Linked DNA regions of Lepisosteus oculatus. The protein of the gene in region 1 interacts with the protein of each later gene in a biochemical or structural test. Links are inferred from orthologs where the notes say so. Each region holds a gene or a part of one and is shown in the gene's direction. Other genes may lie near its edges. The genes, in order: elk1, srfb and mapk9.

What was found.
Region 2: the proteins of elk1 (region 1) and srfb form a complex in vitro, tested with the Homo sapiens proteins (2 studies listed by BioGRID). The link is inferred for Lepisosteus oculatus from reciprocal best matches to the Homo sapiens genes ELK1 and SRF.
Region 3: of the proteins of elk1 (region 1) and mapk9, one has a biochemical effect on the other in vitro, tested with the Homo sapiens proteins (2 studies listed by BioGRID). The link is inferred for Lepisosteus oculatus from reciprocal best matches to the Homo sapiens genes ELK1 and MAPK9.

What each region holds. Positions count from the first base shown.
Region 1 is NC_090697.1:76,536,577-76,543,848, reverse strand, and holds the start of elk1 (ETS domain-containing protein Elk-1), read left to right. Parts: upstream 1-4,196; 5' UTR 4,197-4,593; coding exon 4,594-4,618; intron 4,619-4,627; exon of another isoform or gene 4,628-4,916; intron 4,917-5,145; exon of another isoform or gene 5,146-6,226; intron 6,227-7,272. UniProt on the Homo sapiens protein: Transcription factor that binds to purine-rich DNA sequences. Forms a ternary complex with SRF and the ETS and SRF motifs of the serum response element (SRE) on the promoter region of immediate early genes such as FOS and IER2.
Region 2 is NC_090712.1:6,300,885-6,308,382, forward strand, and holds the start of srfb (serum response factor b), read left to right. Parts: upstream 1-4,444; 5' UTR 4,445-4,997; coding exon 4,998-5,657; intron 5,658-7,498. UniProt on the Homo sapiens protein: SRF is a transcription factor that binds to the serum response element (SRE), a short sequence of dyad symmetry located 300 bp to the 5' of the site of transcription initiation of some genes (such as FOS).
Region 3 is NC_090706.1:23,084,177-23,091,550, reverse strand, and holds the start of mapk9 (mitogen-activated protein kinase 9), read left to right. Parts: upstream 1-4,269; 5' UTR 4,270-4,511; intron 4,512-7,374. Other genes in the region: gfpt2 (glutamine--fructose-6-phosphate aminotransferase [isomerizing] 2), read left to right, coding at 159-203. UniProt on the Homo sapiens protein: Serine/threonine-protein kinase involved in various processes such as cell proliferation, differentiation, migration, transformation and programmed cell death.

The sequences.
Region 1 (7,272 bases):
TTATCTTTGTTCCTCCAGCGCAGTGTGGAAACAACATAATAATCAGGCAGCACACTTAAAAAACACACAAATATTTACAGACAATACACATACATACACACAAATATTACACTACTGAGAGCCTTGGAGTGGTGCTTTCTACAGGCACAGAAAAACACCTCTCAGCTGCAGCACAAATACTGTAAGAGGAAGAGAGAACCCGTGTCTCATCTTCTACAAGAACCTACTCCAGACTAAATGTCTCTCTGAAGCAGATGCTAAACAAACAGGAACTTACAGTTTTTCTCTATTAAAAAATGCCTTGCTAAGAAAAATGCCTCTTCCCTGGTGGGTACTGCCTGTAGGAAATCGGTATTTCCACATATATAAACCAGTCTCTCACTTAAGGCCCAGAGTGGGTCTCTGTAGTGCTCAAGATACCTGGAAGTTTCTACAGTTCCGGTTCTGTCAGGGAAGAAGCTTGGAGTGGGCTCTAATCCTTTCTCCTCTTGGTCACTTGTGTTTCTGCTTTGCCTCTGTGTGTGTGTGTGTGTGTTTGTATACTGTGTTCTCTAGTGATGTTCTAAAAGCGCTGGCAATGATTCAACTGCGATGGGTTTAGTCCTAGTTACAAATTAGCACTGCTGTTCAGCCTTGGTGACTGTGCTGAAGGACCAATGACGGCTGTGCAAACACTCAGAGGATGCCCATTGTTTTAACTACAGAATAAGGCGTTTTGATGTGAAAAGTAAAAATTTGGAAATCCCAACTCTTACGGTTTGGTCACCAGTTTAGAGAAATTATATTACTACTCCAGAATCTCTAGCAGCCATATCACCCTGCAGCTCACAACTGGCAGCCCCCTGAAGCTCAGCAGGTGTGAGCCTGGTCAGTACCTGGATGGGAGACTCCTGGGAAAAACTAAGGCTGCTGCTGGAAGAGGTGTTAGTGGGGTCAGCAGGGGGCGCTCACCCTGTGGTCTATGTGGGTCCTAATGCCCCAGTATAGCAACAGGGACACTATACTGTAAACAGGCACTGACCTTCAGATGAGACGTAAAACCGAGGTTCTGATCTCTGTGGTCATTAAAAATCCCAGGGCGTTTCTCGAAAAGAGTAGGGGTGTAACCTGGCCAAATTACTCATTGGCCCTTACCAATCATGGCCTCCTAATAACCCCCCTCTCTGAGCTGGCTTCATCCCTCTGCTCTCCTCCCCACTGAGAGCTGGTGTGTGGGGAGTGTACTGGCGCATCACCCAGGTGGGGCTGCACACTGGTGGGGGTGGAGGGGATCCCCAGGACCTGTAAAGCGCTTTGAGTGGAGTGTCCAGAAAAGCGCTATAAAAGTGTAAGTATATTATTATTATTATTATTAAAGAAAACGCTTCGGGGTAATAAAATAATAAAAAGTCTGAGCGAAGCTGTTTTTGACTGAGCGCGGGGCGCGCTGCTCGCGAGACGTCGCTCGCAGCCTTCCAAGGGGTGGCCGTCCCCTGGCACGAGCTCGCAGTTGCCGTGGAAACGGGGAGCCGCATCGCGGGTGGCAACAAAGGACTTCCGCCCCGAAATAGACCGGCTCCGCGGCGCGCGCAGGTACGCCCCCGCGCTCCCCTCGCGCGCGCGAGCACCGGCACTCCTGCCCGTCTCGCTGCAGAACCCGACCGGGCCTGCGAGCAGACACTGGGAGCGACACCGGAACTGCGACCCGAATCCCGTTAGCGCCGTCTCCCTTCCGCCCTGCTCCAGGTCTGAGCCCTGACCCTTCATTATCGATCAGGGCACGAGCGGAGGGCGACGTTCAAGCTGATCAGGCTGCCTGACCTGTTGCATGTTCAGCACTTGAACTGGTGAACGTACATGGTGCACAATCACATCAGAAATAAGTGCACTCAGGGGGCATGACCTCGCTTCATCTGGAGCTCTCCAGGAGGACGAGAGACGCTCGGTCAGTCCTCTCCCCCAGTCCGCTACTGACTCGCGCAAGCTGGCGGGTGTGCACTTCAGGGCTGGCCGGGGGGGTCCCCTCACCAGATTTAGAACCCACTGTCACGCCCTCAGCAGCCAGAGGGCGCTCCTTCTCTGTCCTGTCCCTAGTTTCCGGTCTGCTGTCCTTCCGGTCCCTCTCTTTCCCTTGGGCTATATATTTCCGGGTCTTGCACTCTGTCCTGGCTCAGCATTGACGTTCGGATGTCCTGAGACCCGCCTAGCACCAGGGCGCCCCACGTCCGCTCCCTGAGGGCATAGGTTTCTATACGGCATTCCTGAACTCTTTGCACTAATGAGCCCGGGCCTTTTTCCCGTCTTGCCGCTACGCGTATGGGTCTTTTTCCGCTCTCCTGCTCCCCACGGTTAGTCCCTTTGGACGTCCGTGACACCCACGGCCCTCGCCTGCCCACGGCTCTGCAGTTTGGAACAGGCCGGGTCTCACAAACAGCCATCTCCCGTCTGCGAAGCAGTTCAACAGCCATGCGACGCCTTCGGTTCAGGCGCCCCACGATGAACCCCACAGACCAGGGATAGCGGCTCGCCGGCTTGGGGCGGGGGGGCAGAGACCCTTCGGAATGTGTTGCCTCCTCCGGTCGGGTCGTGTTTCGGTGCGTCTGGGCTGCCCGGCGGGCCGCCCTCAGTCAGGGAGTGAAGGAGGGGTCCGTTCTGCACGCTGCAAGATGGAAGGTGGCGCTACTGTACGAGACCGCCCTCGCTGGTCCAGTGCCTCGATTCGCAAGCCCCCTGCCCTGTCCCGCCCAGGCCGGAGTCACGGAAGAGGAAACGGGTCCTTCTCCTCCCTGGAAAACGACATGATAATGCAGCCCCCTGGAGCTCAGCAGGTGGATGGGAGACTCCTGGGAAAAACTAAGGCTGCTGCTGGAAGAGGTGTTAGTGGGGCCAGCAGGGGGCGCTCACCCTGCGGTCTGTGTGGGTCCTACTGCTCCAGTACAGTGACGGGGACACTAGACTGTAAACAGGCACTGACCTTCAGATGAGACGTAAAACCGAGGTCCTGACTCTCTGTGGTCATTAAAAATCCCAGGGTGCTTCTCGAAAAGAGTAGGGGTGTGACCAAATTTGCCATTGGCCCTCACCAATCATGGCCTCCTAATAATCCCCCTCTCTGAACTGGCTTCATCACCCTGCTCTCCTCCCCACTGAGAGCTGGTGTGTGGTGATACTGGCGCATCATACAGGTGGGGCTGCGCACTGGTGGTGGTGGAGGGGATCCCCAGTACCTGTAAAGTGCTTTGAGTGGAGTGTCCAGAAAAGCGCTATATAAGTGTAAGCAATTATTATTATTATTATTATTATTAATAACACTATAAATGTATGAGGCTTATGCGTTTATTTTTATCTCATCTTTATTTGTTTGAACTTTAGGCTTTATATCATAAGACTCGTGTCACCTCACGCAATTTATAGAGAAAGCGTTGCAGTCTGTGGTTGCACTTGGAGTAATTAATAATTGCCGACACTTTACAGGTAATGGGGACCCCCTCCACCACCACCACCAGTGTGCAGCCCCCACATTGTGAAATATAACGTAACATTTCGTATTTCACTTCTAAAATACAACATATGCCAAGGTTCTGACGTCGTCGTTGTGTCGCTTCAGCGAGGCGAACACCGTTAACCCCCGCGACCTGCAGTTCAGCGTAATTGGCATTTCATTTCTGTGCGGGAATGTTTTGTGAACGGATTCGCGATCGAAGCGAAAGGTATCGACGAACTAGACGGAGCAGCAGCTCGCGGGGGTGACGGTGTCTTTGGCTGCTGCCCCCCCCCTCCTTTTTTTTTTACTGGAAATAGCTGACGTCACGGGTTCTGTGACGCTGACATCTCACTCTGCAGGCGCTCGCCGGCGACAGAGGGGGGCGGGGGCGCCGAGAGGCGGCGAGCGCAGCCGAGGCGTTTGTGAAACAGGAAGCGAGGAACGCAGCCGCGGAGGTTTACAGTACGGGAGGACTGGAGACGCTTGAGGTAGACGGAGAGAGAGAGAGAGGGAGGGAGGCGCCGCTGCTGCTTGCTTGCGGCCGACACGCGTGTCATGGACTGCCGAGAGCAAGCGCCGTTACAGCAGGCGGAGTACCCGGAGACATGTTGCGCCTAGGCGGCGGGGAGTTGTGACCTCGCTTCGCGGAGCGACAGCAGGACCCGAGCGAGCAGCGGAGGAGAGCGGCTGGGAAGGGGGGCGGTGCTGGTGGTGTTGGGGTTGGTGTGTTGTGGGGGGGCTGGGGGGAGAGAGAGAGAGAGACGGGGGTCTCCTACTCCGAGCCTCGCCGATTCCAAAGACCCTCACCTGCCAGCGCTCGGCGTCACGGCGACCGGGCAGGAGGACATGGGAGGCCAGCATGCGCCGTGGCTGCTTGTAGGACTGTGAAGCCGTCCAAAACAAAAACCCAAACACACACATCAGTCAAGTCCGGAGGTGAAATATGGGGGTGGCTCGGGTCTTTGTCGGAGCCCTGTCATTACATAATTAGAGCCCCGGATCGGGCTGGACGATCGCCCGTTGGCACCCGCCACCCTCTCGCCCCCAGACCGACTTGTGGACGTCGCTCTCCCGGCCGGGTGTTCTCCTCTCCCTCCAGCATGAGCGTCAGGACCCCCGCCGCCTGAGACATGGACTCGAACCCCCTGCTATGTGGTAAGTGCGCCCGCGGAGCGCCGCGCTTGGACGGGCGGCCGTGGTGTCGCGGCGCCTGCAGGCTTGGCTACACCGTATCGACCGCCCCAGCTAGCGCGCTGCGCCGCGGCCGGGCTTGGCGTGTGTCCCGGCGGAGTGTCATCGCCCAGCGTGTGCGCGGGTGCCTTCCTGGCCGTTAATCGAGAGGTCTGTTGCCGTGATTCCCTTGCAAGCATCGCCGCGCAGACGTCGGCAGGATAAACGAGAGTTACGCGCGTATAAACGCCAACACCCGCTTTGGAAACTTGCTGCTCTCCTGGTAGGTTAGATCTCGAGGAGCGCACTGGCACCAAAACTTTTTTTTTCCCCCTGTCAAGGGCTTGGATGCGAGTTGTAGCTGCTACTTTCAAATGTCACACTGTTTGTTTTTTTTTACTCGAGTCGCGCATCGGTTTTTCTAGCAGAACGGTTTTTCAGTGTCGGAGCAAAATGCCGTGGGTTGCACGGTTTTTTTTTAAAGCTTTGTTTTATTTATTTTTTTAAAAAAGAAAGACTGCGCAGGAGACGAGACCATCGACAGCCAGTCTAGCGCCCCCCGCCTCCGGCGCGCGCGTTACAGTTCCAGAGCTCGTGGATGTCGAAGCAGTCGAGAGTCAAAAGTCATTTACCCGGCCAGCAGTGTCCAGAGACTGGCCTGTGCAGCTGAAGACACCACGTTTTCCCCTAAAAGCGAACATAAATAACGTATAATGATTATTTCCGATGTCTCTATATTTTAAATTCCCTCCTAAATTCACCTGAACACACACCTAAGTAAACAATTTCCCAATGCTCTGAGAGGTCGGTGTGCAATCACTTAATTTTCATGGCTGTGGTTCAAACCCCGCCGCTGGTTTCTAATGACCAGTTTCGGCTTGTTGACGTTTTGTGCGCCCGTGTGTCTCCGAGCGTGTGTACGGGCTGAGGGCGGTAATGCAGCGTCCAAGTCCGATTACAACCCTAATACCGCGGAGACGTCCTTTAAGATGCTTATCTCCCCGAACCTGCTTGGAGAATTGAAAAAGGTGAACTTCCCTTCCTGTCCTTTTCCCCAAAATGACAAATAATTGTGTGGTAACTCAGAGGGATACAAAGCATCGCGCTCTCTCCCAAGCTTGCTCTAAGCTAAGATGTTTTTTCAGTTTCAGTTTAAAATATAAAGGCTGTGCTCTGATTTTTTTTTAATTGTTCTGACAACAGAAGTGTTTTTCAAAATCCACTCACCATGTGGTAACACTGTTGTAGGTATTATTTTATTATATTTGATATATAATATTTGGTTGTTAATATAATTTGAGTAATTCCATATTATACCAGTCATACCACATTATGGCCTCTCTTTCTGTCCCCTGCTCCCGCCTCTCACTCCTCCTCCCTCCCAACCTTTGTTCTCCCGCTACTTTACCTTTGCCTACTGCCCTGTCTCTCTCACACCTGAAGAAGGCTCCACGGCCGAAAAGTTGTGTTCTCTTTCTTCTTTTTTTCAGCATGGAATAAACCTATTACTTGTTCCTTTGCAGCCTACGCATGCTGACGCAGCTACCCACCTGAACTAATACCAAATTATATAATAAAAACATGTAATATTTATTCTATGTATTATTTTGTTGTCTTTGCTGCTGTTGTTGCTGTTGGCTTGCTCTTGTCAAGCAAGAGGCTGACACAAAAGCTTTTCCTCTTGCGAAGCGTAGACGGGCCTGAACCGTCGAGCCCCGAAGGAGTTCCACTTCCACAGCACAGCTGCGTCTCTTACAGGGGCAATTCAGGGCGAAATATGCCACTCAAAGTACCGACAGCTGTGTCCCACCCAGGATTTGAACCCGCAGTCTTCCAGTTACACATCCCCCGGTGCTGAGGGGCCTGCTTGTTTTCATTGCAGATGGGCTCTGCATTACTGCATCAGACTCTTGATTGGCCTGACAGTTGCATCCACCGGACACCTTCAGTAGTCCTCTGCTCCTAATCATACTGGGGAGCAAGAGCGTCTCCTTGCAGTTCATAAGTTAAACCCATGAGTTAAAACATCTCAGAAAAAGAAAATTCTGCAAAGGCACCCTTCAGGGGAATGTTTACAGTTGAACTCATTAATTCAGTTAAGGAAAGATATTCTGGGAGGAACACCAGCAGGCTGGAGCAGGGTTGGGGGACCCTGGTTTGCCTGCTCTGTATAAATCTCTACTCTCCCTGCATCTGCTGGTGAAAACCCCACTGGCTCAGTGCTCATCTTCTTTGGGAGTCTTAAACGTGTGAGTGTGTAAAGACCTGGGTGACTGTATCAGTGTTACTTTGACAGATCGGTTTATCAGTGGATCAATTCATTGATATCTTTCTTCCTGCTAAGCAAAAGTATCTGAAAAAGCTGTGTGTCAAATGAAACGGCTTAAGGCACGTTGTGGGCGCAGTAGACGCAGTTCGGTCAGAGGGGAAACCACAAAGAGTACGCAAAGGTTTTGTTGAGGGAGAGAATGAGCTTGCCAGCATGGTTACAAGATGTTTTCAATACTGCCATCTTGCTTTCAGTTCTGACTTCTTACTCTAATACTGTAGGTAAACCAGACGCCAGTCTCCAATCTCCCCCATCCTTATACGCCTTATAGCCATTTCGAAATTCTTCCGCTTATGGAAATATGTTGATT
Region 2 (7,498 bases), on another chromosome or scaffold:
GGGGGCAAGGAAAGGCTCAATTCTGTAAAGAGTTTCTTTGTCATCGTTTTTTTAAAGGCCTGTTGTTTGTCCACGGTGACAATGGGGAGGGGTGTTGCCCACTGGGTGTGTGTGTGTAAGTGAGGTAAGGAGGTGGCTGTGTCTCTCTGTAAGAGTGGGAGCGAGCGGAGGAGGGGGTCTGTGAGGGAGACCCTCACTGCCACGTGCTTCCCGGCTCACCTGCACCTCCAGCCCTCTCTGAGCTGCACAGAGGAGCCGGCAGCTGTGCTCCGTCCCGGGCGGCACCTTAGACAGCTGAGCGCTCGCCACCGGCCTCCCTCCCTTTTCACAGCACCCAAGCGACTGGGGAGCACCTCACTCGTCCTCTCGTTCCTCTGGCACTGAGCCCTTCATCAGAATCATCACAGCACTTTTACTGGGAACAGACAAAATATTTCTTTCCACATGCTGCACTAACCGGCCCTGCTATTCTTTGTCCTAAAATTGGCTTATAATTCTTGTTATGTTCACGCATGAAGTGCACGTTTCAGTGTCTAAAAGGCATCAGATACTAGGTGGCCTGTGATTTATACGGTACAGAGCGCCGGTTATATGAAGTGGTATATGCTCTCCCTCAGTTTGTGGGTTTCCTCCAGGTGCTCCGGTTTCCTCCCATAGTCCAAAAACCTACCAAAAGGTTCACTGGCATCTGGAGAAACTGGCCCTGGTGTGAGTGAGTGTGTGTTTGTGTCCTGTGTGCCTGTCCAGAGTTTGTCCAGCCTTGTGCCCACTCCTTGCCAGCGTAGGCCCAGGCTGCCTTGTGACTCTGTGTTGGATGAAGCAATGTTGGTTAGCAAACAGATGGATTATATGAAGCATCTTGAGCCTTTTAATGTTTGTCAAATGAACGGAGGGTTTTTCTCCCTCTATAACTTGACCTCTAGCATCACTTCCTTTCCTGGATTTTAACCGGATTGGGTAGGTGAACGGGTGTGCAAGACAAGAAGACGAGTTTACAGGCCAACCGCAGAGGAGCAGCAGACTCTTGGAGCCGGAGGGGCGACAGATATTTAAAGCTCCCTGAAACCATGTTGCTGAAGAGTAAAGGTTTTCCAGGCAAAGCAAGCTTCAAAGAAGCTCCGACATCACCGAAACCACAATCCTTTCGGCTGAAGAAAACTGCTCAACACCAAACACACTTCCCTATCAGCTGCAGAAATACCCAGCTATTGATGTTAACGCTGAAAACCTCTCAGCGCATTCTTGGCTGATCGTATCATGTAGTCCACAAATTTTAAAGAGCAGGGTTCTGCACGACAATAAATTACGATCAGGAACCAGCGCTTCCTGAAAGGCGAAAAGCAGCTCAAATCACAGTAGCCTCACAGTTTAGACCTCTGTGAGACACTAGAACTCTGGGCTGTGTGGCAGGCCTGACCGTTTAGTGAACCTATTTTTTTTCAGCGCGTCCAGCACTGCGCAGATGGTTCCCGTGTGCTTTATCATCTTGCGGCGGCAGCAGAGCCAAGACTTCCAATCCACTGATCTACAAAGGATCATTACCACAGAAACAATGTACCCTCACCCAGACGCCAATCTGTTCCAAACCTGAGTTTATAGAAAAACTAGTCATGGATGACTCACCTACAGTAACCCTTGATCATGCTAAAGCTTTTGTGAAATGCTTCTCCTTGACATGCAAATTGGGCTTATTTTTATCCCACTCTGTCCTGTCGTGTTCTGATTTCAAGGGTTCTTCACTGTCCCTGCTCCTGCTCTGTCTTTAACCGGTATCCTCTCCTTCCCTGGGCTCATGGCGTCAGTGGTGGTGTCTCGCAGGGCCGGGCAGCCTCCACGCTCCTGTCAGAGCTTGAGATGGAAAACTCCGGGCCCAGACCCCTCCAGCTGCGCCCCGCAGCTGCCTGGTGTCCCAGCTGACAGGAGAAGATCTGGATGAAGACGTTCACTGGAAGTATCCCAAGCAGCAGGCCTGTGTGTTGTGGGGTCTCTGTGTGCGGGGGGCAGGGGGGACTTGCACCGGCTGAGGAGGTATCCAGATGTTATGTCTCCACACACCCCTCTCTCTGGCCTCTCGGAGAGCCAGACTCTTCCTTCTGTCTTACACAGGGCATGGCTGTCCTCCCCCCCCCCAGGAGAAGCACAAACCGCACTGCAGACGATGGAGGAAGGAGGAAGGGTGACCAGACGTGTGCAGGGGGCCGGAGAAGTGCTGCTCTTCTCCGGAGCTGGGAGTCCTGCAGGTCTCCTGACTCGGGACAGGTACTGCTTCCCCTTGGACAGAACTACACTGCCAGACCCGTCCAGCATTGTGTTTGTTTGTTTTTACAACATTAAACAGATGATTCATTTTTAAAAGGAAAGTTAAGAAGAAAAAAAAACTTGAAACTCGTACCCGAGTGTCAAAACACTAACGGGCTTAAAAGTTTCATTTCTTTCACACTGGAGGAGGCACAGACAAGGACACACAGTTACTTCAATTTCAGGTACAGCAAGCCCAGGAAAGGCCCTGCCTGCTATCATACAGACACGCCGACACTGCCACGGCAGTTAAAACCCACAAGCCCAGCTCTCTCAACAGGGGCGCCTCATAATTGCCAAGAACGACGAGCCCTGCCGATCATGCCTCTTCAGGGCTGGTTAAATGGGTAAGACTGCCTTCCCGTTATCTAGGCTTGCATATTTGAGCAAGGCCTAATCTAATTTAATGCAGCATCCAGTTAAACAGTTTCCATAGCAACCAAGCCACCCTGGCAAGAGTTGGTGATACAGTGAAGTGAGAAGACTGTGGAGTGCCTGACAGGTTTGTTCTAAGGTGTCTGCACCCACTGGCCCTCGCTAATTAGGAACATCGGCAAACGCACAGAGCTGTGTTTTTTTTAGTCCCGTTCAGTTTTAAACGCAGTGCTCAAACCCCCTAAACAGTTCGGCCACATAATGCTTAACAGCTACAGTTTCACCGCCAGGGTGTTGAGAACTAACGAGGGACGCGACGAACCTGAGATAAAACTTCGTGACTGATCTAATATTTAAACACGCAGTCGGACATGAAGGTATGAGCATCACCCATCTCCAATAGTGTCATTCACTACTTTGTTAGGAGCAGTAAATCCGACCTGTTAAATGATACTTATTTAAAAATGATTACTTATACTTCTCCTGAACACCCATTCAATCCAGCAAGTTGCAAATGTACTAATTGCGCATTTAATTGCAGACACAGGGCGTGGTCACGTATTTCTTCTTACTTCCCTGTAGAGTCTTTTAATTGCACGAGGGGCACTTTGAAAAGACAAAGCAATCCCTCCTTGTTTTTCTATGCCATCAGGAAAAGTTCATCTGTGTGTTGAATCTGTGTATCTCTGCCGGATACTACTGCTTTTCATTTGGAGGTAGATTATTTTTTGGAATCTGTGAAATCTTTCAACTTGCATTAATGTTAATATATCAAAGTTATGTGTTCTTTCTGGATTATAAACGTTATGTACGGCTTTGAAGAAAATACTCTTGAAGTGCATTACTCTTATAGCTAGTATATATCACGTCCATAGTGACATAAAATCCCAAACGAATAGTTTTGCTCTGTCATTTTCTAAAATATTCCTAGATATTCAAAGGTTTTTCTAAGAGGTATCCTAGAGGTCTTACACTGATCTGTTTGTTGATACTCTCTGAATGCACGATGTATTCGAAAAAACATTGTATGTACTACAGAATATCCAGCATGTGTTGGAAAACCCTGTGCCTGGAAATAAGAAGAAGATGTGGAATAAGAAATGGATGTGTTAGAGCACAAACAGGGGTCATGATATCAGGATCGGGGCGAAGACAATTGATGAGTGGACGGGGTCAGACACAGCAAGATGAACAGGTCATTGCTGAACCAATGTTGGACCAGGTAACTAGTGATCCATTTCCATGTGACCTAAAGTGACCAAGACCTTCCGTAAAGTGACAAAAGGAGACCAATAATTATGACGGGGCAAGCTATACCACCACAACAGCTTAGTTTGTAGAAGATCTTACGTGAAGCCCTTATCCATGTGTATATCGGCAAGGGATTATGGTTTATTTGTACAGTACAACAGTGAACAAATTAAATACAGCAGTGAATAAATTACAGTTCATAAAACCTTGTTTGATAAGGCCCCTGCAGTAGAAAAGAAAGAAACTCAAGCCGTTGGCACTGTGATATGTGAAAGCCCCTAACTGTACAGCAGCTAACTCGGGACTTTAACTCCGTGCCTGTCTCTTTAAACTCGACCACCAGCCTTCCTCCCGTCGCTGACGTCAGGGGGATGAGCGCAACCATCTTGGTATTTATTCTAATGACCGGGCGCCTGGCGTCCAATGGCGGCGCAGGTTCGGGCGGCTGCGGCCAATGGCGGCGCGGCGCTGTGACTCACCAAATAAGGAGAGCCGCCACCATAAAAGGAAACGTTGTATCTCTTTATATGGAGGAAAGTAGATCGCTACCTATGGTATCCGTCCACGGGGAGCGAGTTGAAATAAGCGAATTTAGCCGGTTCCCCCTCGGCGCCGGCGCCGTCTGAAAGCGAGTTAGGTGATCCGGAGGACGGGTAGGAGCGTCGGCTGCCATCCCGGGCGCGCTGGCGGGCTCCCCGGCGGTGTTTTAATGTGGGGACTACGTGACATGGCGGAGTGATGCGTAGGGCGTGATCCGCGTTTTCCTTTTGGAGAAAGTGCAGCGAGTTTTGGAAATAGAGGAGGTTGAGCTTGACTGAGCCGGGGGTGAGGGGTCTTATGGGGGGCAGCATCACTTCTGAAACTTAACTTCTCCCGTTATAAGGGGACGTCGGAGCCTTTCTGACTTTCCGGACCGCTGTTTTCTTTTTTTTTCTTCTCCTCCTCTCCCTCCCTTCCCCCGTTGACCACCTCGCTGGCCGGTGTATGTGCTTTGCTGTAACAAGACGAGCACGCACGGGCCCCAGCGAGCGGCTGGCTTTCTTTAAAGACACCCCCGGGGGCAGCAGAGTATAATGTTACCGAGCCAGGCTGGGTCGGCACCAGCTGGAAACGGGTCGTCTGCGGGCCGGGGCAACACGGGTCACAGCTCGGGGGCGGCCGGGAGCGCGCTGCGCCCGGGTCTGGGCAGGACGGGGTTAATCGGAGTGGCGGCCGGGGTCAGCGGCAACGGCGGCGGGGTGGGACGGTCGGGGGACGGGGCAGGGATGCTGGGGGGCAACGGGGCAGGGGGAGGCTCCCGAGGAGGGTCCCGGCCGGGCAACGGGGCAGGGCTGGCCGGGCTGCAGGGGACTGGAGTAGGGGGCATCGGGGGAGTGACGCCCGCCGTCGGGATGCACGGGGCCGGGAGGTACGAGCCCGAGCGGGACAGCACGCCTCAGGTGTACAGCGGCTCGGACGCCGACTCGGACTCCGGGGATGACGACGACCCCCTGGGTCCGGCCGGGGACGGCAGGAGAGGGGTGAAGCGGGAGCGGGCGGAGATGGAAGCCGCCGGCGCCGGGCAGGAGACCGGCGTGCCGCCGGGGGCATACGGCGGGGTGTCCGCCGGGGTGGCCGGCGCGAAGCCGGGGAAGAAGACCAGGGGGCGAGTCAAGATCAAAATGGAGTTTATCGACAACAAGCTGAGGCGGTACACAACTTTCAGCAAGCGGAAGACGGGCATCATGAAGAAGGTGAGTAACGAGATTGCCCTGCCAAGTTCGCGGCCGGTGGAGGTGTCGGGGGAAGTTTTTTTTTTTTAACGAGTCCCGTCCTCTATCCCCCCACTCCCCCCCGATGCGAGGCCTCGCACTGTCCCCCCCCCGGGGCTGGAGAAGTTAACGGTTGGCGTATAAGTTGCTTTAAGCGACGATGCAGCGGCGGGCGACCCCGCGGCTTGAGAGCGGGGCGAGTCGAGAGATGGAGCCGGAACGCCGCCGCCGCAGCAGGGAGAGCGTCTGGTCCGGTGAACAAGTTCGTAAAACCTGGGAAAGGATGAGCTGCCCAGCGAGCACACCGTCGGAAACGGCACACCGGGTTGTCGAAGTCGTCGTCGTCGTCGTCTGCTCCCAAGACCAGTTCTGTCAGCGCCCGGGCTCCGTCCGGCGTCATGTGTCGGTCGTGAGAAACTTCGCCAGTCCGTGTTTCAGCCCGTGTGTAGCCGCGGAGCCTGTTCTGTTGTGTCTGAGCTGTAAGAAGTGTACTTCACTTTTTTTTTTTACTTTCCGACTTTACCGCTTTCCCGGCCCTCTGGAAATCTGCAGACCTACCCTGCTGAGATATCTGTTGTGTTTTTGTTTTTCGCTTTCCAGAGAGACCACGCTCGTCCGCGCACACACACAGAAACATGGAGCAAGGGGGGGAGTTGTGGGCCTATCGGCAACAGCAGAAAATATCCCCAGAATCGGAGAGTGTCTCCACCTGAATTATTTTTATCCGTGTGCCGGGGGGTGGACGGTTGTCTTTTTCTCTCCGCCTCTGCCCAGTGAGAAATCAGAGCGCGGATTACACAACGCGGCCCGCCGTCTGGGGAGCCGCTCTCGCACTGCCGAGGTGTTTCTCGGGGGGGTGTCTCCTCCAGGGGGTTCGGGGGTGAGCCCGTCTCCCTGAGGGGGTACCGACGGAGAGCGGGGGAGTAGGCGGCGGCGGCGGGGGGGGGGATGGAGAGACGAAGAGGAGAGCTGCCGCAGCGCGCGAGGCCGGGAGGTGGGGGGGGGGAAGCGAAACTGACACGGGCTCGCGCTGGAGTAGCCGCGAGGCTCCCGGCGGTGTTTACTAGTGACCGGGGGGGGGGGGGCGCCGCGCACGTGCGGACCTCCAGTCAGGGGAGAGAGCGCCCCCCCCCCTCCTTCGCCGTAGGTGGAAACTACAGCGGACACGGTGGGCTCAGAACAAGAGGCAGGCGCTTTAAATAGAAAAGAGCAACTGGCAACCCCTGTGCCCACCCTCCCCTCCCTGTGGCCTGTGCCGGTGTTGGTGTCGGTAGTACCGAGCTGCTGGTCGGGTGTGTGCGCGACCCCAAGGGCTGCCTGGCCAGAGGCTGGCGAAGCTAGAGCATCGGGGAAGTGTGTTTCCGTCACGGAAGGTAGCGGACAGGTGGCATGGGCTGCGGTCTCGGTCCTTGTTCTCTGTGCTCTGGACCCGTTCCCACTATCGACAATGATCCCAGCTCCACAGCCTGCAACGGAGCTCTTTTCTGAAATGCGGTGTAATTATCTGTTAACAGTCGCTTTCCTGCGTGGTGTTTCTTCACCCTACGTCCCCTCAGCAGTTTGAAGAACATCTTGCCCGAGGGCCCGTGTGAGAGCACGGCGTGGCCCCTGTCCTGTCCGCACGCAGCTCCTCCGGCTCCGATTGATCCGAGGGCCCGGCAGCACTCCCACGGCCCGGCCTTGGTCTGAGACGGGAGTCCCTCCGGCCCTCTGGTTCTGCTGCACTTCCACATAGTCCTTCAGGGAAGAGCATTTCAATCTCAGACCAGCAGGCACTACGAGCTGATTCCCAAGAGACACTTTGCTGATGTTTAATTACATGT
Region 3 (7,374 bases), on another chromosome or scaffold:
CATTTTATCACATAAATCTAGCCACTAATGCACCCATTTACCTAATATCTACTTGCTGTAATGTACACATCATAAACTGTAAACAAAACTATCTTTTAAACTATTTCTTTGAAATGTTATTGAAACAATGTTTAACATTATTTCTCTTTAAATTTTAGGTTGACTGTCCACGGAATCTTGCCAAATCAGTCACAGTGGAGTAATATTCTTCAACAAACTGGAAATTATTGGAGGGAAGATAATGAAGAAGAACGTTTGCGGTCTTGGGTGTTTATATGTATGTTCATATGTTTATAGATATTTACATGTATTTATATATTACATAAAACTGAAACACAACAGACTATCATTGAAGTTTTCTAGGATCAGGCTTTTTCTCTATCTTCCAGCACTATAATTGATACAGGACTTACAAGGTTTGATCCAGCCAATGCAATAACTAGTACATTGACACTTCAATGTAGCAACACTATGCAGTTTTTAATTTACTTTGTGCCTTAACCTTATGTACTCCTGTTGCCATAGGAGTGATAAGGAAAAGAAAATGTGATGTTTACTTGTAGTTCCTAGATTGACATTTTATTAATACTGTGCAATATTTAATGTAAGAGGGCCAAATGTTTCTGGTTTTATGCAGATGATCTACATTTTAGGGGAATGAATTTGGGGAAGGATTTAATGTATTTCAGAATAGAAATTACATCCTAAATTAAAAGCAAAGCTATCTCATAACATACAGTATAACGCCTATATCCTCTGCTCTCAGTGGCATAAACTTTCACAGGTTCCAATCAATATGTAGCCGTACATCAGTCTGCTTTTTGGTACAATAATGGGAGCAAGTGTGGGCATGTTTTCTTGAGGATTTAAACATCAAAAGCAGTGGTCCACCCTTAAGCACATGGTGCTCTATAAAGCGGAGCTTCTGTACGATAGAGGCTTAGCCATGCTGTGACTCCCATGCTGTAACATTCTTTAACACTCTCCTCCACTACAACTAAAAGAGTCAGGTTGAACACCCCCAGCCTTAATTTCAAACCACTGTAGCAAGAGAAGGCCTGACTTGGTCTAGAATGAAAGTAAGTGCTTACTGTTTTCAGTCGATACACAGAGAGATGTGTATCGTCAGAAGATTCATATATGCAATAATTATACCAAATTAAGTGAAGAAACATCAGATTGCATGATCTATTGATCTTTTTCTGTATGTATTTTAATGTAGCTTTATTTATATCCAGAATATATGTGCTGCAGAGACCGTGGTGAGGAGGTATGAAACATGTCTTCTCATTTGACAACAGCCTTTGCTATAGTTTATTTGGCACAGGCAGTATTGTCACTGTAAAACACAAGTCTGCATTGAGCCCCAGATATGTATTCCAGTCTGCTAAATCTTTTAACAAAGATGTCTTAGTATCATGTGTTTTAGATTATTTATGAATTTATAAAAAGGTAAATTATTTTTCCAGGCTTGCTAAAATCAAAGTGGTTTGTTATTGTTTACCAAAAGTACTTGACATGTATATTATTGTTATTGTGTTGTCATGCTACGTAAAACTGTGAGTGATGCTTTTGGGTATTTTTTTAAAGATGAAGATCAATGGCCTTTTAAAAGATATTTTATATGTTTTTATTATGGAGGACTTTCAAAATCTATGAATGTTTAGAAAAAGGCAAAATAAAATGTATGTTTAAATTGCCCTGGTTTGATATCTTTATGCTTGTCATAGAATTGGTTTAATTGGTTTGAACGTCCTTAAACAGACTGAGATTATTAACCAAAGTGGTATAGTTACATGTTGCCAGCACTAGCTACATATATACTGTATTTCCCTAAAATCAAGTAGAGGTATAAAGATGCAGCTCCTCACTAGACCATATTTACTTGTAATTAGTAACTGTAATTGGATCAGAAATAATCCCTATTAATTTAAGTCTTGTATTATTTATCGAAAGCCAAAAATACCTAATAGAGCGGGGGATCTTAAAATTAGATTTCAGAACCTCAGAAAAGTACAGGGTCCCCTAAAGAAACCAAACTCTGATTATGCAGATAAATCAGATGTGTTAGTTTTGAGCTGGAGTATTAATCTTGTGCAACTGAGACCTAGTTTCCTGTTTCCTGCTAATGGGTCTGCTGATAGTTGAAGCAGACCATCCCATTTTCTAAGCAGGTTGGCCCTTAATCATGGAGAGATCAACCCACAATCACTTGGACAGGGCATGCTTGTATCTGTTTTTGCTCTTTCCTTAATTTACAATTTTATTTTTTGAATGCATATGTATCTGGGTTCTTAACCAACCCATTCTGGCAATTATGAATAATTCAACTAAAATGACAAACACTGAGCAGCTGGTATTTATAAAATCAAATTGACCTGAACTTTTTCTCAAGGGGTAATATTAGAGAGCCAACAAATCAATCCTCTCACTGTTTCAAATGAAAGTGAAATAATGTACAGTATTTACCTAATGAGCTATAGACATAAGGTGCAGACTTTTGTTTTTTTTGTTGTCCATTGGTATATACACAAATGAGTATTCGTGCACACTTGAACTTAACACATTTATCTCAATGTACATATTTAAGGCACCTATATAATGACATTTTGTGTGTTCCCTATCATGGACTGGTGTCTGTGTGTCTGCACTATGATAGACTGGCTTCCCATCCATGGTATACCCTGCCATGTACCCATTTCTTGCTAGGATAGGATATGGCTCCCCCATGACCCTGGATTTGAAGAAGTTGTGAGAAGATGAATGGATAGATTTATTGACACACAGAATACAGAGAATTTATTTTTTCATCTAAATTCATCAGAACGGACATGGTATCAATTATAGCTATTTATCCAAATTACTGTTATATGCCCATTTTAACTCTAGTTTCATATGTAACATAAGGTTGGGAGGTATACTACTTAAAACTTTGAATAAATAAACAATGCCTGCGTTCTGCCATGGGACTGTTGTCATGATATCCAAACACTTTCTAACTGCTTCTTCAAATTCAGGGTTGCAGGGGTGTTGGAGCAACTCAAAATCTTGGAAAGCAATGACACAAGGCAGGATACACCCTAGACAGGAAGCCAGTCCATTGCAGGGCATGTGTCATCAGTTTTGTACTTAAGTACAGTATTCCCAATTAAACAATTTAACCTTTTCAGTTGCATAACAAAGCAGTGGAAAGACCAATTCCTCCAACCAGCCAGACCAATTAGAAACCACTTATGTGGGAAGCCTACCAATTTGATACATAAACATTTAAATAAATCTAGTAGGTAATTCATACAAATGTGCCTTATACTGAATCAATTGTATAATAACTTCACCCCACATTAATTCAAATTGTGTATGTGTGGCTTTATACTGAACACTTTCTACACTAAACACAAAATCTCAAAATCATGTACAGTTATTGTAAAGTTTTCGTTTACACAGATATTTACGCAGGCAACACAGTGGTGCAGTGATTAACATTGCTGCCTCACAGAACTGGGGCCCTAGGTTCAGTTCTGGACCTAGGGTGCTATCTGTGTGGAGTTTGTATGCCCCCTCCCTGTGTTTGCGTGGGCTTTTTCCAGATGTTCCTGTTCCTCCCACAGTCCAAAGACATACTGGTAGGCTAACTGGCTTTGGGGTATAATTAAGCCCAGGTTTGAGTAAGTGTGTGTTTGTGTCTCCTCTGGGATGCACAGGTATCCTTGTAAACTGCCTTGCATCCCTTGCTCACTAGTTTAGACTTCGGCTCCTCCGTGATCCTGAATTGGAAGAAACAGTTAGAAAATGGACGGGTGGACGATGTACTTATAATAATGATGATATTATTATTATAGCAGTAGGAAAAAAATGCTGCCCGAATACTTTTTGGAATTGTACAACTCACGGAATTCGATCTTGATGGAGATACTTTATTCATATTAATACTGATGTATCGCTTATATTTCAAGTTTTCGAGTGATTTTCCATTTCCAGTGATGAGTGTATACAGCATATTGCATTTCCAGCAGCATTTTATAGAAACAGTGTATTCATTTTCAATTCAGAAAGCCACCGTCTACAGAGGTACTACAATGTGGATCCCTAGGATTCGAAAGATTTTTTTATTGTTAAAACTTTAAAAGTTGTACTTTAGAAAGAAGGGTAATCAGGTCGCATTGCAACAAACCCCCAGCAGGCAGCCGCCAGACAGGCTTAAACGATCGCAGCTCCCACTGGCTTTGCTGACGCGCCACACTCTAGCTTTGGCGTGATGACGTCACGCATATTTCCTGCCCGCAGTCGGGTTGTTGTGCCGACAAGTCCCCGCCCCAGTCATGCCATTGACAGGACCTAGAAATCCGGCATCTAGGAAGAAAGACCGTGTATTTTCGCGGCTGACAGCTGAGTTCTCCATTTGACGCATCCGCCTTGGATACCTTGGATTTTCGTGAATGTTGAGCCCCGGAGCCCCTCTTCTTGGGTTTGTCGTGCATGGGAGTGCTGTGGGGAGAAAGCGAAGTGAGAAGGTAGGTGTAATTAAATTTAGCTCGCCTGCTTGCATGCGCTGCTCCTGCTGCAGTTCTTACCAGAAGTGAAAGGGGAGGCGGGTGCAGACCGGGCCCTTGAGTCAGACCGGGGGCTTGTAAGTTGCAGAATTGGCCGAATATTAACCGAGAAGCGGAATTGACACGACAGGTCCTCCCTGCTGTAGGATATTTCGCATATCTGGCCTAGGCTGTAATTTGTGGTCTTACTCTAAAACACAGGCTGTTGGAGGGAGTATGTAATGATGCAATGAAACTACTCCAGAATGACTCATTGGCTGCCAGCTGCAAAAAGAAAGCCTACAAACTGTCGGTATTTGATTAAATGATGGAGTACGGGAACTCTATGTGCCTTCTAGGGCGGAATTGACAGCTTCATCGTTCCCAGGAGGCTTTAAAATAAAAAAAATACAGAGACAGATGATTTTTGTTTAAAGCCGATGGTGTTGCATGGCTGCTGGAAGCTGCAATATTTGAAGTTAGTACCTAATGAAAAGGCTACGGGGAAGCTGTGCTCTGTTGCCAAATACTGGAGGGATTTCTTTTATTTAAAGACCATAGCAAATTACTTAGACATTAGACATCCATTGCTTTTGAACCTGCAGGCAGTTAACACCCCAGGTTATTCGCCCACATACAGAGCAAGAATACCTGGCTATCTTAGGGGCACGCCCATTTATTTAAGACTGTTTCAGAGACTCTATTATTCTCCATTTATCCTGTTTCAAGTGCTACTTAATTGGCAATGTCCTTCTAACTACTTCCTCCTCGGATATACGGGTAATACTCGGTGTGGAACCTTACAATAGTCTGGAAACCGGCTTATCGTGGCCAGGCCTGCATTCATGTTGCCATTTTTCATGATTCTACACTGCCTTTTTTTTAGCTTCCTTCTCTTATTACTGTTCTGTCACGTAAGTGCGCTGTTCTTCTTTTTACTGGTTGGAATGTTTGAGCACCTACTGTGCTAAAAAACTATAAGTATCATCATTATATTTTTAACATAAAGACTTGTTTTCAGAAATCTGGACTTCAGCTGATGCTTTGAGGTGATGCGACGCTTGGTCCTTGAATTTGCAAAACTATGAATTATCCATTACTTTCCATCACTTCAGACCGGTTTAACTAAATGTGTCACTACTAAACACTCCTCTTCTATAAAATTCCTGCTCTCCTTGGGTAGTTTAGAAACTCTGCTAGCTGTGAACGGGAAGGTGGCTGTTTTTTTTGTAGGAACAAACGTTATCATTTTTTGTATAGAAGCAGCGGTTGAAATCAGAGTTTGTGAGCATTATGTAAAGTACAATATATTATAAGGATGACATTGCAACATTTTGTTTCATGCTGACTAACATTTGCTGTCTGCATTTCATTTTAAAGGGTCCATACCAAAGAGGTAAACATACCAAAGATAAACATTGTTACAGTATATTGGTACTTTTAGGTTTTATAGGATGTGACATACCTGAAGTGGTGTTTTACATGTACTGTAAGTATACAATACAGTATACCAATGTATTATTAAGATTGCTTTACAATCTTGTCAGTTTCATGTGCAGTAGAAAATCAGCTGAACGTTTCATGAAAGGTCTTTTGGCATGTAATAGTGAATCAGAGGAGTTTTACATGTAGGATTATACCATGGCGCAGTAGTGAACATTGTTGCATCGCAGGGCTGGGGCCAAGGATTCCTTTCCAGATTTGAGGTGCTATTGTGTGGATTTTATAATGTTTGCGTGGGTTTCTTTTTACTCTAACAACGTAAATTGGCTTTTGGGAATATATTTAATTTCCAGTGTGTACCCCACATTACGCCTGCTGCTTGCCAGGATTGTCTCAGGGTTCCCTGTGACCCTGAATTGGAAGAAGTGGTTAGAAAATGTACCTGATTTACCTGTATTTGCTTAACTTTCATAAATGTGTTCTACAGTACCACATACAGTAGTACTATTAAATAAAGTCTCATGCTCTATCCTTCCCAAGTTTTTTTTTAAATAATCTATCTAGTGTTGCCAACAGCCATATCACTCTGCAACTCACAACTGGAAACCCACTGAAGCTAAGCAGGTGTGAGCCTGGTCAGTACCTGGATGGGAGACCTCCTGGGAAGAACTAAGGTTGCTGCTGGAAGAGGTGTTAGTGGGGCCAACAGGGGGGCGCTCACCCTGTGGTCTGTGTGGGTCCTAATGCCCCAGTATAGTGACGGGGACACTATACTATAAACAGGCACCATCCTTCGAATGAGACGTAAAACTGAGGTCCTGACTCTCTGTGGTCATTAAAAATCCCAGGGTGTTTCTTGAAAAGAGTAGGGGTGTAACCCCGGCGTCTTGGCCAAATTTCCCATTGGCCCTTACCAATCATGGCCTCCTAATAATCCCCATCTATGAATTGGCTTCATTACTCTCCTCTCCTCCCCACTGATAGCTGGTGTGTGGTGAGTGTTCTGGCGCACTATGGCTGCCGTCTCCTCATCCAGGTGGATGCTGCGCATTGGTGGTGGTGGAGGGGAGTACCCATTACCTGTAAAGAGCTTTGAGTGGATTGTCCAGAAAAGCGCTATATAAGTGTAAGCAATTATTATAGAGTTCTTTCCACAAGTGTCCTTTTTTCCTGTCATATCGAAACACTTCTGCTCAGCAAGAGCCCATGTCTGTTATGCTACTGTCTCATTGCTTTGCATTTCACTTATTAAAAGCTTCATCATAACAACTTTGCAATACTTCAGCTTGAGATAATGCATTTTCCATTTTAATAAAACGGAAGAAGAATGCTGATGTGTTTGATTTTTACTGGATTGGTAAACTACACTGCAAATTACATGGGGCCCATTCAAGACTAGATT